Linked DNA regions of Diceros bicornis minor. The protein of the gene in region 1 purifies or fractionates together with the protein of each later gene. This does not show direct contact. Links are inferred from orthologs where the notes say so. Each region holds a gene or a part of one and is shown in the gene's direction. Other genes may lie near its edges.

Evidence for each region.
Region 2: the proteins of PDE6D (region 1) and RAB28 purify together in Homo sapiens (affinity purification with mass spectrometry; 3 studies listed by BioGRID and IntAct, with this or other methods). This does not show direct contact. The link is inferred for Diceros bicornis minor from reciprocal best matches to the Homo sapiens genes PDE6D and RAB28.

What each region holds. Positions count from the first base shown.
Region 1 is NC_080776.1:20,151,169-20,158,806, reverse strand, and holds the start of PDE6D (retinal rod rhodopsin-sensitive cGMP 3',5'-cyclic phosphodiesterase subunit delta), read left to right. Parts: upstream 1-4,570; coding exon 4,571-4,574; intron 4,575-5,285; exon of another isoform or gene 5,286-5,412; intron 5,413-5,768; coding exon 5,769-6,060; intron 6,061-7,638. UniProt on the Homo sapiens protein: Promotes the release of prenylated target proteins from cellular membranes. Modulates the activity of prenylated or palmitoylated Ras family members by regulating their subcellular location.
Region 2 is NC_080747.1:10,318,272-10,326,015, reverse strand, and holds the start of RAB28 (ras-related protein Rab-28), read left to right. Parts: upstream 1-4,646; 5' UTR 4,647-4,814; coding exon 4,815-4,889; intron 4,890-5,031; exon of another isoform or gene 5,032-5,166; coding exon of another isoform or gene 5,167-5,175; intron 5,176-7,744.

The sequences.
Region 1 (7,638 bases):
TGAAGGAGAACTGGTATAGCAGATTTAAACAGAGAACAATTCAAAGAAGGATAGTTTGGTGCAAGACTAAGTTTTCCAGTGGAGGCAGACACACAGCCCAGCAGCCCTTTTACAGTATTAGAGAAACAAGTACGTCGCCTCACTGAGGGTTACCTAAGACGGTCTTATCGGAATCAGGAAAAGTGAAGGGCTAGGGCATCAAGGTTGCTGAGGAGGGAAGGGGAAAGAGGAGAGAGAAGGGGAGACGGTGAAAGGGAAAAGGAGGGGAGGTGATGGTTAGTAGAGGAGGACCGAAAACCTCTCTTCCAAGTGGACACGTGTGAAGAGACTAAATGCAAGGGCCTGGGGGTGGGGAGGGAGTAGACAAATGGACAGAAACTTCGGTCCGTCAAAATAATCTCGGTCTATGGAGCAAAGCCCGTGAGGGCAAAAGTAAAGAGGCGCTGATAGTCGCTTTCTTCTGGAGTGGGAGGGCCCGAGAAGGCTAGGGCCACAGAGGAGATGGAGTCCCGTCCTGGGGAGGGCGCTATTCTGATAAACGGCAGAGTAGCAAAGAGGCAGCCCTCGGGGGTCGGGAAGAGAGAGCAGCCGCGGTGCGGGAGCTGAGGGTCGCCAGCTGGGGTGGACTCCAGGGCGGGCGGCGTGCTCCCAGCAGGGCCGCGGGGGCGGGGTGAGGACCGCGGGGCGCGCTCCCCCGGGCGGGGGCGGGGCGGTGTGGCCGCGGGCTTTCCCGGCGGCAGGCGCGCAGCCGGACGGCCCGAAGGAGGCTGGCGCGCCGGGCCCCGCCCGCTGGCCGGCCCCTACCTGTCCTCAGCGCCTCTCCGTCCTCTGGGTCGCTGGCTCAGCCTCCCGGCGCCTGCCCGCAGGTTGTCAAGCGTCCATGATCGGCCCGGCGTCCGACGCTTTTCTGCCTCCGCCGACCCGTTGCCCTTGCGGCTCCCCCGGAAGCCTCCCTCCGCTGCACTCGAGTTCCGCCCACACTAGGTTCCCCCACCGCGTTCGCAGACTCAGGCCTCCAGTGAGGCCGGGACCGGGCATAGAGGGTCCGAGCACGGCGTATAATCCAGGAGCTCGGTGGGGAGGGGCCGAGGAGACGATGCAGCCTAGGCAGTGCTGGGGCCCAAACCATCGGCATCCTGGGCCTGAAATCCACTCCTTTGGCCGAGCTTTACCTCTAGGAGGTCCCTATGGCGACTGCCGCTACCCTGGGGTCCAGGGACATATTAAGTCTACTAACAACTACCGTTTATTGAGCGTTTTTCCATGCGACAGGTGCTGTACGTATTCTCGTCGAATTCTCATAATGTCTATGGCCTAAAATATTATTCCCATTTTTCAGGCGAGTTAACTAAACCTAAAGATCCAAAAGGCAGTAAGTGGCAAAGTCCGATGTGGAACCCAGGCCCTCTGAAGCCAAAGACCATGTTCTTCCCTCTATTTAGAAAGTGTTTTATAATAAGCAAGAGATGGGTTGAGCCAACAATGGTTCTGTGACAAAAATGACATTCGTGGCGTTGCATTTGGTAAGTACCGACTCCCCTGGAAGGTGGCTGAGAAATGCTACATATCTGAACGCTTAAGCTGATTTCTCTAAAGTATGCACCACAGACTTTCAGGTCTTGAAGAGAGGAAAAGAACCTTATTTGCCTTTTGTGCATTAGAGTGCAGAAATCAGACAGACAGATGCAAAGGAGCCTAGGATCAACCCACTCATTTATTCAAAAAATTTCTCTAGCACCTGTTATGTTCTACAAGTTTATATGAAGAGAAGACAAGGTTCTTGCCCTCAAAAAGCTTCAATGTGTTAAGTGCTATGAGAGAGATATGACAACGCTTTGGAAACACAGAAGAGAATATTGGGGAAGAGAAAACAGGCATCTTTCAGGCGAAAAGGGGAAGAAAAGGGGGACAGTGACCACAATCACAGAGGCTTGCGCTGTGCAGCATATACTGATGCTGAATAGAAACTCAGAGTGGCTGGAACCCAGGGTTCAGGGGTGAGAAATGAGGGCTACAGAGCTGGAGTCAGGTCATCAAGGGTCTTGGAAACCACATGCAAGGCACTATACCCAGTAAAAACCTAAATACAGTGAAGTTCCCACCTGGGAGAGCTCACAGCCCCCTGGAAGAGACAGACCTGTCCAGTTATGACAGACAGTAGCCACAGGCACCCTAGGGGTACAGACAAGGCTCTCCTGACTGTGCCCTGGGGAGAGATGATTTAAGGCAGACTTCTGGAGGAGATGAGGCTTGAGTTGAGCCCGGAAGAATGAGCAAGCAAATCATAAATGGCCTAAGCCACGTAAAGGAGTTTTTATTTCATCTTAAGGGCACTAGGGAACAATTTAGGGTTTTTAAGCTGTGGAGAGGTAAGAATAATTGCCATTTTAGAATAACCACACTAGCTGCTATAGGAATGGATTGGGTGTGGAGAGAAGTAGAGGCAGGGAACCCCGTGAGGTGAATGATATATTCCAGATAAGAGATTGTGAGTTCTTGAACAAAGGTAGTGGCAGTTGGGCATGAAAAAGCAGGGACACTGTTGGAGACATTTAGACTGTAGAATCTATCAGACTTGGTGACCAGTTGAATGCAGGAATAGGGAAGGAGGATATCACCAAGGAATCTGGCTGGGGTGGCCAGGCTGTCTGGAGGTGGTGTTAAGTGAACAGGGCTGCGGAGGAGAAGGGGCAAAGTTGATGGTGGAAGGAAGACAACTAAGTTCTGTTTGAGTTCATAAATATTCCAGCAGAGCCTCCACTTTCTCCAGAATAATGTCCAGACTCCAAGGCTGCAGTTAAAGCCCTTCTCAGTATGCCTCCCTCCTACCCTTCCAGCTTTGTCTCGCTTCACCCTCTTTACGGCCCAAACTCCAGGCCTCCCCATGCCCAACACAACTTACACGTTCCCTCTCTGACCCCAGGGTCTATGGGTCAAGTTTGCTCCCTCTTCTTTTCTGCAGTGCTCTTCCCTCATATTTGCCTGTTAAAATCCAACCAACCCTGTACCCAAAGGTTTCTTAAACTCGATGCAAAAAGCACTAATCATAAAACACTGAACTATTGCACTACATTAAAATTAAGGATTTCTGTTTATCAAAAGACACCAGTACGAGACTGAAAAGATAAGCCACAGACTTGGAAAAGATATTTGCAAATCATGTATCAGACAAAGAACTCCATATCCAGACTATACAAAGAACTACAAATCAGTAAGAAGACAAACAGCGCAATTTAAAAAGTGGGCAAAAGACTTGAACAAGCACTTCACAGAAGAGGATGTTCATATAAGCATATGGAAAGGTGCTCAACACCAGACAATGTAAATAAAAACTATAATGAGATACCACATTTAGCCAAAATGGCTAAAATTAAAAAGACTGACAACACCCAGTATTGACAAAGATAAGAGTCAACCAGAACTCTCTTACACTGCTGGTGGAGGTGAAAATTGGTACAAACATTTTGGAAAACTGGCAATATCTACTATTGCTGATCATATGCACACCGTACAAGCCAGCAACTCCTCTCCTAGAAATGAGTCCACAAGAAGGAACATATAAGAAGCTCATTGCAGCTTTATTAATAAAAGCCAAAAATTGATAACTGATTACCTAAATGCCCATCAACAGTAGAATAGATCAACAGTGCTATATACAGACAATGGAATACTACTCACGAATTTAAAGAAAAACAAGCTACTGCTACATACAACATGGATGAATTTCACAAAAATATTGATGAATGAAAAAAGCCAGACATACTGTACATATTGTATGATTACATTTAAATGAAATTCAAGAACAGACAAAACTGATGTATGGTAACAGAAGTCAGAAGAATGGTTACTGGGATGGGACGATGAAGTACTGATTGGAAAGGGGCACAAGGGGTGCTGGAAATATTCTATATCTTGATTTGGGGGGTGGTGACACAGGTGTATACATATGCAAAAATTGTGCCCTTACTGTATGTGTTATACCTTATTAACAAAAAAATATAAAGATGGGGCTGGCCCGGTGGCACAGCGGTTAAGTGCATGCACTCCGCTTTGGTGGCCCGGGGTTCGCAGGTTCGGATCTGGGGTGCACAACGACGCACCACTTGTCAAGCCATGCTGTGGCAGTATCCCATATAAAGCAGAGGAAAATGGGCATGGATGGTAGCCCAGGGCCTATCTTCCTCAGCAAAAAAGAGGAGGATTGGCATCGGGATGTTAGCTCAGGGCTAGTCTTCCTCACACACACACAAAAAAATGTAAAGATAAAATTTTTTAACATAGAAAAAAAATCCTGTGCATCCTTCAAGTTCAAATGCGACCTCCTCCATCAATAAATGGAATACATCTCTCCATCAGAGCCTCTATAGCATTCTGACGTCCTTTCTTTTATGCCATTTATCACAGTCCACCTTGAATCTCAGTGGAGTCTCCTTATTTCACTAACTAGATGGTTATCTTCCTGGTGGCAATGACCATGCCTTTCAGCTTTTATAGAAAGCCTGGCAAATAACAAAAGCTGAAAAAGCTGTTTGTGGAATTACATGGAAGGAAAAATTGGGTGAGTGCCCAGATGGGTGAGAGAGGGACAGGAAGAGGAAGGAAAGCCTAGGAAAACAGACAGGAGATCTTCCAGGAAACTTGAGCTTACACTACAATTTTACCCAGTTCCTGAAATCACGTTAAATGTCACGTTGAGCAACAAACAAACAAAGAACAAAGCAAAACACCAAGTCCTACCTAGACTGAAGATAAACATCACACTCCTTCATTTGGAGGAAATCCACCAAATAAATGCTTACCTAACCTCTGGGTGTTTCAACCCCGATGGGGAAACTTCACCAGGGAGAAGAATAACCACATAGCCATGCTGCTAAAAATATCGCCACCCTAGTGTGGTGCAAAGAGCCCAGAGAGTGTCAGGAAACTTAGGGCCGAATTCTAACTCTGCCCCAACTTGCTGTGACCCGTGGACAATCTCCTTGCCTCTCTGGGTCTCAGTTTCCTCATATGTAAAACAACAGGGGTTGGATTAGCAAATTCTCTAAAGTCCCTTCCTATACTGATATTCTGAGTACACTATCGATATCTCTCCCGGTCCAACGCAGGAGCACACCAGAAACCCCTGCAAAAAACGTAAAAGGCGCTCCAGACCAACAAACAAGCAAGGTTTGAAGGAGTCATTTTATCTTATTATCTCTCATGGTTTAATCAGTGTTTCTGTTTGTTGTTTGCAGCCTTACCATGATTTGCAGGAGATTTCTGAGTTCCATGTAAACAAAAGTTACCTCTCTGTGGGCTGTCATCTTCTTTTGAGGGTGAAGAGGGTCTTGCCGCCTGGTTTCAAGTCTCCGGATTCAGAAACTACCAAACCTGAGGCACGGTTTATGAATTTGCGCACACTGCGCGGCACACTGGAGTCCAAGTTACAGAGGAATAGAGTGCAGGGAATGCTGGGATTTGTAGTCCCTGGGCCTCTTTGTTGCTTGCTGGGATCTGTGGTCCCCTGGGATTCTGGGAAATGTAGTCTCCGCCACATCTCACGGTGCAACCCGCTGTCATCTCAGAGCCCTTGTGTGCCCAGCAGCGGGAGCAGGCCCCTCGAGCCTCTGCAGATCTAAAATCCTCCACTGGGGAAAACTCTAGGCAACAGCACCGAATGAAAAAAAAAAAAAAAAAATTTGTCCTACGGGACTTCCCCGGGAGGGCCCTTCCCATTGACGCTCATCGTCCCCCCTTGAAGCCGCTGAGTGTTTCCATTGGCTGATCAGGATGCCAATCGCCGAGGCGGGCTTTCCATTGGCTTCGGGGCGGGCGCTCCGAGGCTAGAGGGAAGGAGAAGGAATCAGGAGCGGGAGCTGAGGGGAGAGAGAGGCCGGTCCGGGTCTGGCCGCTGCCGCTGCTCGCCGGAGGTCTCCAGGCCCGGCTGCAGCTCAGTCCTCGGCTCCTGGTCACCGTCTACGAGGCTCCTCCGGGCCAGCGTGGGAGAGCCGCGGGCGGCGGTCGCCGCATCATGTCAGCCAAGGACGACCGGGCCAGGGAGATCCTGAGGGGCTTCAAACTGTATCCGCCTGGGAGCGGGGCGGGGCCGGGAGGACTTGGGAGGCGGCCGCTGGCTGAGGAGACAGGCCGGGGGCGGGGGCCGCGCCAGGTGGGCGCCCGAGGAGAGGGCGGCGGGAGGAGATGGCAGGAGCGGCGTCCCGGGCCCCCGGCGGGACCGGCTCTGGAGGTGGGGAAAGGGGCGTCCTGAGGGAGGAAGGGGTCGTTGACGGGAGCGCCGGGGGGTGCAGGCGGAGGAGCCCCAGAATCGGTCGGGGAGAGGCGCCGGGCGTGGGAAACGGGTGGCAGGGAGGCCAGCTGGCGTCCGAACTCCGGCCCGCACCCAGAAGCCGGGAAGGGGCTGCGGCCCACGGGGAAGGGCCGAGGGGGCGCGGTGGGCTGGCCTCGAAGCCCAGCAGCCTCTTGGGCGGGAAGCCCCCGGCGGGAGCAGGGAAAAGTGACTTGGAGCGAATGACCTTGTGTGGGACAAGTGCAAATGCTTGTGTTAAACTCTCTCGGGTGCCCGCATCCCATACCACCCCCCACCCCACCCCCGCCGTGTTTCTGCAACTTCTCTTCCTCACTTGTGGCTCCTTCCAGGGCTGGAGCAGAGCAAGGTGGGGAGAGAGAAGTCCGAGATCTAACTCTGCCTTGGCCTTTTGAGGCATTGGACGGTCACTTCTTCTCCCCTCAGATCCTCAGTTTTCTTTCCACCAAATGAGGACCCTAAACTTGTGGCTGAGATGCCTTGAGGTGTCTTGGTTTTGCCCTGGGACTCCTGGCAAAGGGATCTTGGCGTGCTCACATGTGTGGTTAACGCATAGACATGGGGGAGCTGTCCAGCAATTATTTGATTACATTGGGGACATGGTAGGATATAGTAGCATATAGAAATCATTGCCTCAGGCCTGTGTGGTGCCTCTTGTGCAACCCTCTTAATGTAGTGAGGAAGCTTTGTGTTTTAATGGAGTGTTAATCTGTAACGGTATGATGAGGATGAAAAAAATGTAATCTTATACATTCCAATTTTACATTTTCTTGCCGACCTTAATCTCTTCTTACATGCTCTGCCTACAATATGGAACATTCTTCAGTTCCTCTCTCAATGAAAATGTAGTCGTCACTTTAGGGCTCCTCCCCTGGAGGTTTAGTAAAGCACTGTTCTCTGAGCTCCTGTGTGTGTTCACAATGCCCATTTCACCCCTGCACATTTTCATTGCTTTGTCATAATCAGACACCAAGTTGTAGTCAGTTTTAGAACACAACAGGCAAAAAAGTTCCAGGAAGTTTGGGACGTACAAATGAAATTTTTCAAATGGAAGCTGACCTGCTATGCTTTTTTTTTTTTTTTAAAGGAAGACTATCACCTTTGTGTACTGCCGTTCATGGTAAACTTTTAGTACTTTTATGCAGTGAAGTTTAGTGACAGCCTCTTTTATAGCTCCCTGTACCTTTCTGTGTTTCTCTTCATAATGGGTCTATAAGCAAATAGGGATGGCTGAAGTGTGAGAAAAGCTGTGACATGGATTTTATTTTTCCCTTAAGTAATTTATATTGTTACTTAACATGTATGCTGTGGACAGTAAACCAGGGACTATGGAG
Region 2 (7,744 bases), on another chromosome or scaffold:
ATAATATTTAGTGAAAGGAGCCAGATACCAAAGAGTACGTACTGTATGAAGCCTATTTATATGAAGCTCAAAAACAGGTAATACTAATTTATAGTGCTAGAGGTCAGAATAGTAGTTACCTTTGAGGAGGTGATGCCTGAAAGATGGCACAAGGGAGCCTGCTGAGATTCTGAATTGTATATCTTGATCTAGGTGGTGGTTGCATGCACACACACACACCACACACGTGTGTTTATATGGATATATACCTATAACCAAGGGAGAAGAAAATTTCAGGGATAGAGACTTATTTACTGATTTTTTGTCCTTTAGGAGCTTAATACACCACTAAATTCTGGGGATCATTTACATATTTTTCTCAGATTTTTCAGCAGAAATACAGTAATAACAAGTGCACAAGCTGGGAGCATGGCCATTATTTTGCCTTACTCCACAATATTTTATGTTTTTCTTTCCATGTTCACTTGGACATCAGTCCTAAGCTCTGCATCTTCAGAATTATGAAATATTGCAAAAAGATGAAGGGAAAATGATGGGTGACTATTGGATTTGTTAAGAAGATGGCAGAGATTGGTGGTTTCTGAAATCAGTTTACTCTCTGATTCACTTACTATTTTCTCACCTTCATTAGTGATGAATAAAAATGTTCAGATGCTTTTACTCTTTATCCTATCCATCAGCTGTTTTACTATCTTTTTTTACCTGAATCTGAAATTTTCCTGTTGACATGAAATTTCTACTCTTCTCCTTGTATTAGTTTCCTGTGGCCGTTGTAACATAACCACAAACATGGTGGCTTAAAACAACATAAATTTATTCTCTCACAGTTTTGGATGCCAGAAGTCCTAAATCAGCATTCACTGGACTGAAGTCAAGGTGTTGACAGGGCTGCATTCTCTTGGAGGCTACAGGGGGAGAATTTGTTCCTTGCCTCTTCCAGCTTTCGGTGACTGCCAGCATCCCTTGGCTTGTGGCTGCATCACTCCAGCCTCTGCCTCTGTGGTCACACTGCTTTCTCTTTTTCTGTCTGGGTCAAATCTTCCTCTGCCTCTCTCTTATAAGATGTGATTGCATTTAGGGCCCACCTTGATAATCCAGGATAATCTCTCCACCTCAAAATCCTTAATTTAATCACAGCTGAAAGATGCTTTTTGCAAATAAGGTGACATTTACAGCTTCCAGGGATTGGGACCTGATATCTTTGGAGTGGTCATTATTTCATCTATTACACCTCTCCAAATTGCAAGTTCCATGGGAGCAGAGCCCTTGTGTGTTTTGGTCACTTGTTCGTCCTCATTGTTTAGAAGATTTTTGAGCAAGAATGCCTGGCACACAGTAGGCATTCACTTAATATTTGTCAAATCAATCATTATTTATAATGAATCAATTTGAAGACATTCCTTTAGAACGAGGAAGTTCTGTTTTACTCCAGAAGACATACAGAATACCATTAGTTGGAATTTATAGTCAAAGACTTCAGTTTATCTCAGGAAGAATATTCTAATAACCAGGCCTATCTGTCCAGAGTCCAGCTTGCTTCATGAGAGAATAAGCTTTTTGAATCTGGATCTATTCCAATAAAGTTTGGATTATCATCTGTTAGGAATGCTAGAAAAGGTGTTTTAAAATTAGGTGGGAAGGTGGTTTTATAGATAGCAGTCAGGTTTATCTTGTGTAACAACTTTTACTTCATATCTAAAGAACCCTATTTTCTTGAAATTTCTAGAATTCTTCTCTAAGCATTTTGTTAATTTACTAGTTTTAAGGCCACTGAAAAAGATTCCTCTAGTTTATCAGCCTGTTGTGGACATTTTACAGAGGCTCCACAGAGACATTTTTCTTTTCTGTGGATCAGCTGTACTTCTGTTTAGAATAGTAAATAGAAGCATTTAGTGCATGGTCCTCCATACAATAAGAATATTTTTTTCTTTTTAATTTATAAATATGGCTCCAACTCTTCAAATCTAATTTTCAACCTGGAATCTTTCCATAGGTGTATAAAATATGGTCACTGAAATAACACAATTGACTTTTTGTTTCATATAGCAACACTATCCTAGGAACGAATCAAGATCCAAATAAATAGTGTCTCTCCATCAAAGCATGATGATTGGAAACTGCAAAGTTTTCTTCTAGATTTCCCTTCATATGAAAACATACATGAAAATCTGTCCTATGACCTTAGCTAAATCTAGTTTTTGGCCAAAGTAGTTGTGCCAGTGGGATGTGTTTGTGCAAATAATGGAATATGTTTTGGTGCAAGTAATGAAATATATCACTAAAATGCCTTAGCATTATTTCCCATAACAAGAAGCCTGGATGGTGGGCTGAAGAAGGTTGTAGCAGTTCCAAATATTATGCCCTTATCCAAATATGGACAGCAAAGGAAGGGAGGGGGAGATCTTTCCTTCTGCATCTATCTTTTTCTTTCTTTCTTTTTTTTTTAATCAAAGAGGAAAATCTTTCCCAGATGTCTCTCAAAGGACATCCTCTTCTGTCTCATTGGTCAGAACTGGGTCATATAACCATCTCCATTCAGGAAGAGTGGAAAAGCAAATTTCTGCCATATTAACTCCCCTCGTGGACAAGAAGGGGTTAAGTCTGTCCTCATTAGAAAGGGATTCTTCAAAATAACAGTTACAAAGAACTTTGCAAAGCCCTTTCACATATTCTTTTTCTTCTAATTCTCATTAACTCAGCCAGTTATGTAGAAAGTTGTTGTTGTCAGTAGTAGGGAGAGAAAACTGGGAGCTAATACTACCTGAGTAGGTACTATTGTGAACCAGTCCTATTTACAGATGAAGAGTCTGAGGCTCTACATAAGAAACTTGTCTAAGGTAACATGGCTAGAAAGCAGTGATGCTCCAACATGGACCATATTTAATAATGACGATGAGCGTGATAATTACACTGGTTCATACTGAGCTTACTATATGTCAAGTATTGTTCTATGTTACTTTACATTGATTACTTAATTCTCAACCCTATGAAGGAAGTAGTACCTCTATTTTATAGATGAGGAAACTGTGGCATGAGGTCACACATCAAGTAAGTGCAGACCTGTGATTAGAACTCCAGTGCTATCTCCGGGGCTGGGCACTTCTTTACACTGTACTGCTTTCCATTTCCCGTGGACTACTGCCTCTGAGCTAAGCTTTTGTGACTTAAGCTTTCTCATCTGTAAACGGGGATAATTCTACCCATGTTATGGGGTTCCCATAAGGAGTGAACTGATCATCCATGTACAGTAATTAACAATGAGACAAACATAGTAGGCTGGCATTATTACTGTAGAATTTGTCTCACTATATTGAAATTTTCAGTTATGTCTTTTACCCACCCTACTGGACTGAGATCATCCACGACAGCAGTTCTCAAACGTTTTGAACTCAGGGGCCCCTCTACACTCTTAAGAATCATTGTAGGGGGCTGGCCTGGTGGCACAAGCAGTTAAGTGCGTGCGCTGTGCTGCAGCGGCCTGCGGTTTGCCAGTCCGGATCCCAGGTGCGCACGGACACACGGTTCGTCAGGCCATGCTGTGGCGGTGTCACATATAAAGTAGAGGAAGATGGGCATGGATGTTAGCTCAGGGCCAGTCTTCCTCAGCAAAAAGAGGAGGATTGGCAGATGTCAGCTCAGGGCCGATCTTCCTCACAGAAAAAAAAAAAGAATTATTGTGGACCCCAAAGAGCTTTGGTTTATGTGAGTTATAGCGATCATTACTGCACTGAAATTAATACTGAGAAATGTTTGAAACAGAATAAAAGGCACATGCTCCCTCAGCTGCCAGAGTGATGATGTCATACACATCATGCATCCTCTGGAAAACGTTTCTGTGTACTTGTGAGAAAATGAACGTGGAAAAGACAAAAAAAAAAAAAAAAGGAAAAGAAAAAAAAGGTCTTTGTATTATGAAAATAGTTTTGACTTCACCAGGACCACCGAGGGTTCCCCGGACCACACTTTGAGAACTACTGCTCCAGGGTATGCGGTTGATGAATGAATCAAGGGATTCTGTGTCTCATACGAGGAAACTCCAGAGAGGCTAAAATAAGAGGCAGCGCCACAGTTCCACCCCACTCACGGCGGCCTCTACAGCTTCCCCACCTGGCAGCGCGGTCCTTAGCAACCGCCACCCTCAGCCGCGCCGCCGCTCCTCCCTGAGCGCGACCCCCGGCGCCCACGCCAGCTCCAGGGACCCCTTCCCTGCGCGCTACGCCTGGCAACCAGCAACCAGCGTCTGGGGAGCCAGGAAACGGGCCCCCGCGCCTCTCCTCCAACTCCCGGCTTCCATGGCAACCGCGGCGCGTAGCCCAGGCGTCATTCCTCCCTCAATCCGCATCGGGCTAAACCATTCGCCTCAGGGACCTTCGCAGGGCGAGAGGGAAACAAGGGAATTTGATAGAACGTCTGCTCCGATTTTTCCACCTAGTTTGAAGGATACACTTCCAGCTTTCCTTTCGCCAACTGCCCCTGCGAGGGTAGCGCGGCGCTTCGCCTGCTCGGCTCGAACGCCTCCCCCATCCCAGGCCCACGAATGGGCCGGCTCCACGGGGAGACTCGCGGTCGGCGCGGGTTGGCGCCAAGGCGGGGGGCGCGCCCAACGCAGCGCGCAGGGGGCGGGGAGGTGGGCAAGATGGCGCCGGGCGAGTGATTCTCTCCTGGTACCTTCAGTGGCCGCTGAGACACCGGGGCGGGGGGTCCTGCCCCCACTGCCGCCCTTCCTCCTCTCCTCCGCCCCCGGAGACCCCCCTCCTTCCCTTTCTTCCTCTACCTCGGGGGGAGGGGGAGGCGGGCCCGCTTCCCGGGACACCATGTCGGACTCTGAGGAGGAGAGCCAGGACCGGCAACTGAAAATCGTCGTGCTGGGGGACGGCACCTCCGGGAAGGTCAGTCCTCGAGCGGGCTAGCCGTCCCAGGCCTGCAGGAACCCCGGCGCGGCCCCGGCGCCCTCAGCCTCTTCCCTGCCGCCGCCTCATTACCCCGAGTCCCGGGACCTCTGGGCCCGGGCCCGCCTGGTCTTGGCCTGGGGCCGGACACGAAGCAGGCGCTTGGTGAAGGCCGACGAGAGCTGTCCAGCTCCTCTTAAAACAAAACAAAACAAAACAAAAAAAAACAGTCACTCCTCGACTCCCTGCTTGGATCGCGAACTCCTACTTCTCCTTCATGACTCGGGTCAGCATCACCTCCCTGGGAAGCTTTCCAGCTTCTCGTCTCTGAGGACTGGCAAGGATCTGCCAAGGCATCTTACCTCTTTTTACTTTAGTCCAGGTCACACTTGGCTCCTTTCCCCCCTTCACCGTTTCGGATGCCTCCACTGTACTGGGAGCTCCCAAGAGCTTGGCTCTGGAATCAGATTCCCCGGGTGAGAATTGGGGCTCCATCACTTACTTGTCGAGTGACTGGAGGGCAAATTGCCAACCTATTTGTGCTTCATCTGTAAGATAGGTATTGATGGGGGTCGCCTCAAAGGGTTAAGTGTGCAAATACACATTAAATGTGAAAATCCACGTAAAGCTTTCAGAACATGGTGTGCACTCAATAAACGTTGGTTGCTGTTTTACAGCATCGTACCTGTTCTTGTCTGTTCCCAGCACAGCACCTGTCAGCACAAGCATTCATTCAACAAATATCTGTTGAGCTCCTGTTATGGGCTGGATGCTGAGGGTAGAGCTGCTAGCTTGATAGAGGGGATCCTTGCCTTAAAGTCTAGACTTCGGTGATGGTTGGTTGAATGAGAGGGAGGGAGTGCGTGCATGAGAATATCCGGCAGCCAGTCTCCTTATCTCCTAGGCAGGGGTTTTTAACCCAGGGTTGTGGAGCTCCTGAAATGAAATAAACATTGCCTGGTACTTGCTCTTTGGAGAGGGTCTATAGGATCTCAAAGGAGTCTGTGACACACACCCCAAACAAAGCGAAGAGCCTCTGCCCGGGGTGTCTTCACACCTGTCGTTTCTGTCAAAGGTGCTAACACTCCTTCTGGGAATATTGCTCAAGTTTGTCTCCTTTCTTCTCCACTCCATTTTCCCCAACCAGAGTCTTCAGAAATGCAGGTTATTATTGCTACCAGTTTCCCGATTTCAGGTTCACGTTTGCCTGTTACTGGTATAGTTACCTTGGTCTCTGTGGTGACGATTGCTCTTTGCCTTTTCCCTGGCAGTTGGCACTGGGCAGCTGCTCCTGTCTTTGGTTCTGAGATTTGAGTTCTGAGGCCCCCTGGGAAAGATGTCATTCAAATGCAAAATTTGGAGAGTTCTAATTTCTTTCTTGCCTTCCTGGGAATTTTGTTATTGATTTTTATTGCTGAGGAAGAACAACTTAATATATTTTGATTACTTTTAAACATTTTGGGGAAGAAAAGAACTTGGGATCACTTTTCTTTATAAAGTATTAATTGTATGAATTTTTGTACATATAAAACAACTTTTTGAATGGATTAATTGTTTTAAATAAATCAGCATTGTTTCTAACACCTTTAATCAATAAAAATTTTAAGTTATATTTTTATAGTTTTCTCATCATTCATATTTTCTTTTGAATGCCTTCTAATTTTACATTTCCTAAATCTTTTTATAGTCAACTCATAACTGAATTTATTTCCTTTTTAAAATTATAATAATATATAACACCAATACACTTATAAAAAGACACAAAAATTACCTGCCATTCTACATTCTATCGCAGTTCTTTAAACTTTTATTCATTTTTTTCTCCTAGTATTTATTCGTTATCATCATACATGTATTAGTTGAAATTTGTTCATAATTTTGTATCTAGGTTTATTTAGCCTGTCATACATTTTCCTCATGTTGGTAATTTATTATGAATAGTTATGTTCTTCATCTTTGTTTAAAATTCTGTGTAGGACAAAGCATAATTTTTGCAGTTCAATATTGTTGAATTAGGATTATCATTCTACTTCAAAGGATAACCGTGATACTCTTTATGGTGTTCTGATTTAGTCTTCATCATCTTAGCTTGTGTATTTTAAAACCATAAAGACTTTTTTCTGCCAGAAATTTCCGGATATAAGCATCAGAAACCTAACTATTTTTCATTATTCATATATCAAGCTTTTTTTCCCTTCATACCCTGTTCAGCTCTCAAATTACTGGCGGCTGCCAACATTCCCATTCTCTTCTTTTACTGTCCTTTTCTTTTATGAATTCAGCCTCTTTTTCATTCTTATTTGTATCCTGATTTAACTTGTGGCCATTTTTTCTAGCATTAGTTTTTCTTGCTAGTTCTAACTCAGGGCATTTCTGTATACACTGACAGAAGCAACTGAGTATTGAGATGACCACTAACAGTTTCTCCAAGAGAAATTTAGCTCCTCCTCCTAGTAGCACGTGTTTCTATTTATTTCCTGTTTTGATTCATACTTTTGATTTTATTACATATTTCTTAAGATTTTTTTGAGGCAAAGTATTCTTTTATGGTGTCTTTTCAGTGTTAGTAAATGTAGTATGGTTAAAATTGTTAGCAAAAGTTCACCAAACAATAAAAAAAATAAAGAATCAGATAACGTTTCAGATATGGTAGATGATTGTTCACTTCATAATTGTTTAAGAATGGTATTTATACAATGACTTGTGAGAAATTATTAAATGTGAAAGATGGCACAAAGTCTAGATAATTGAAGAGTAAGTGCCTCTCACTGATTCGGTTGATCCTCTGTTTAATTTTTATAGTAAGATGTCTGGAGACGAATAAGAACCCATTTTAATGTTCTGTTTTCCCAATG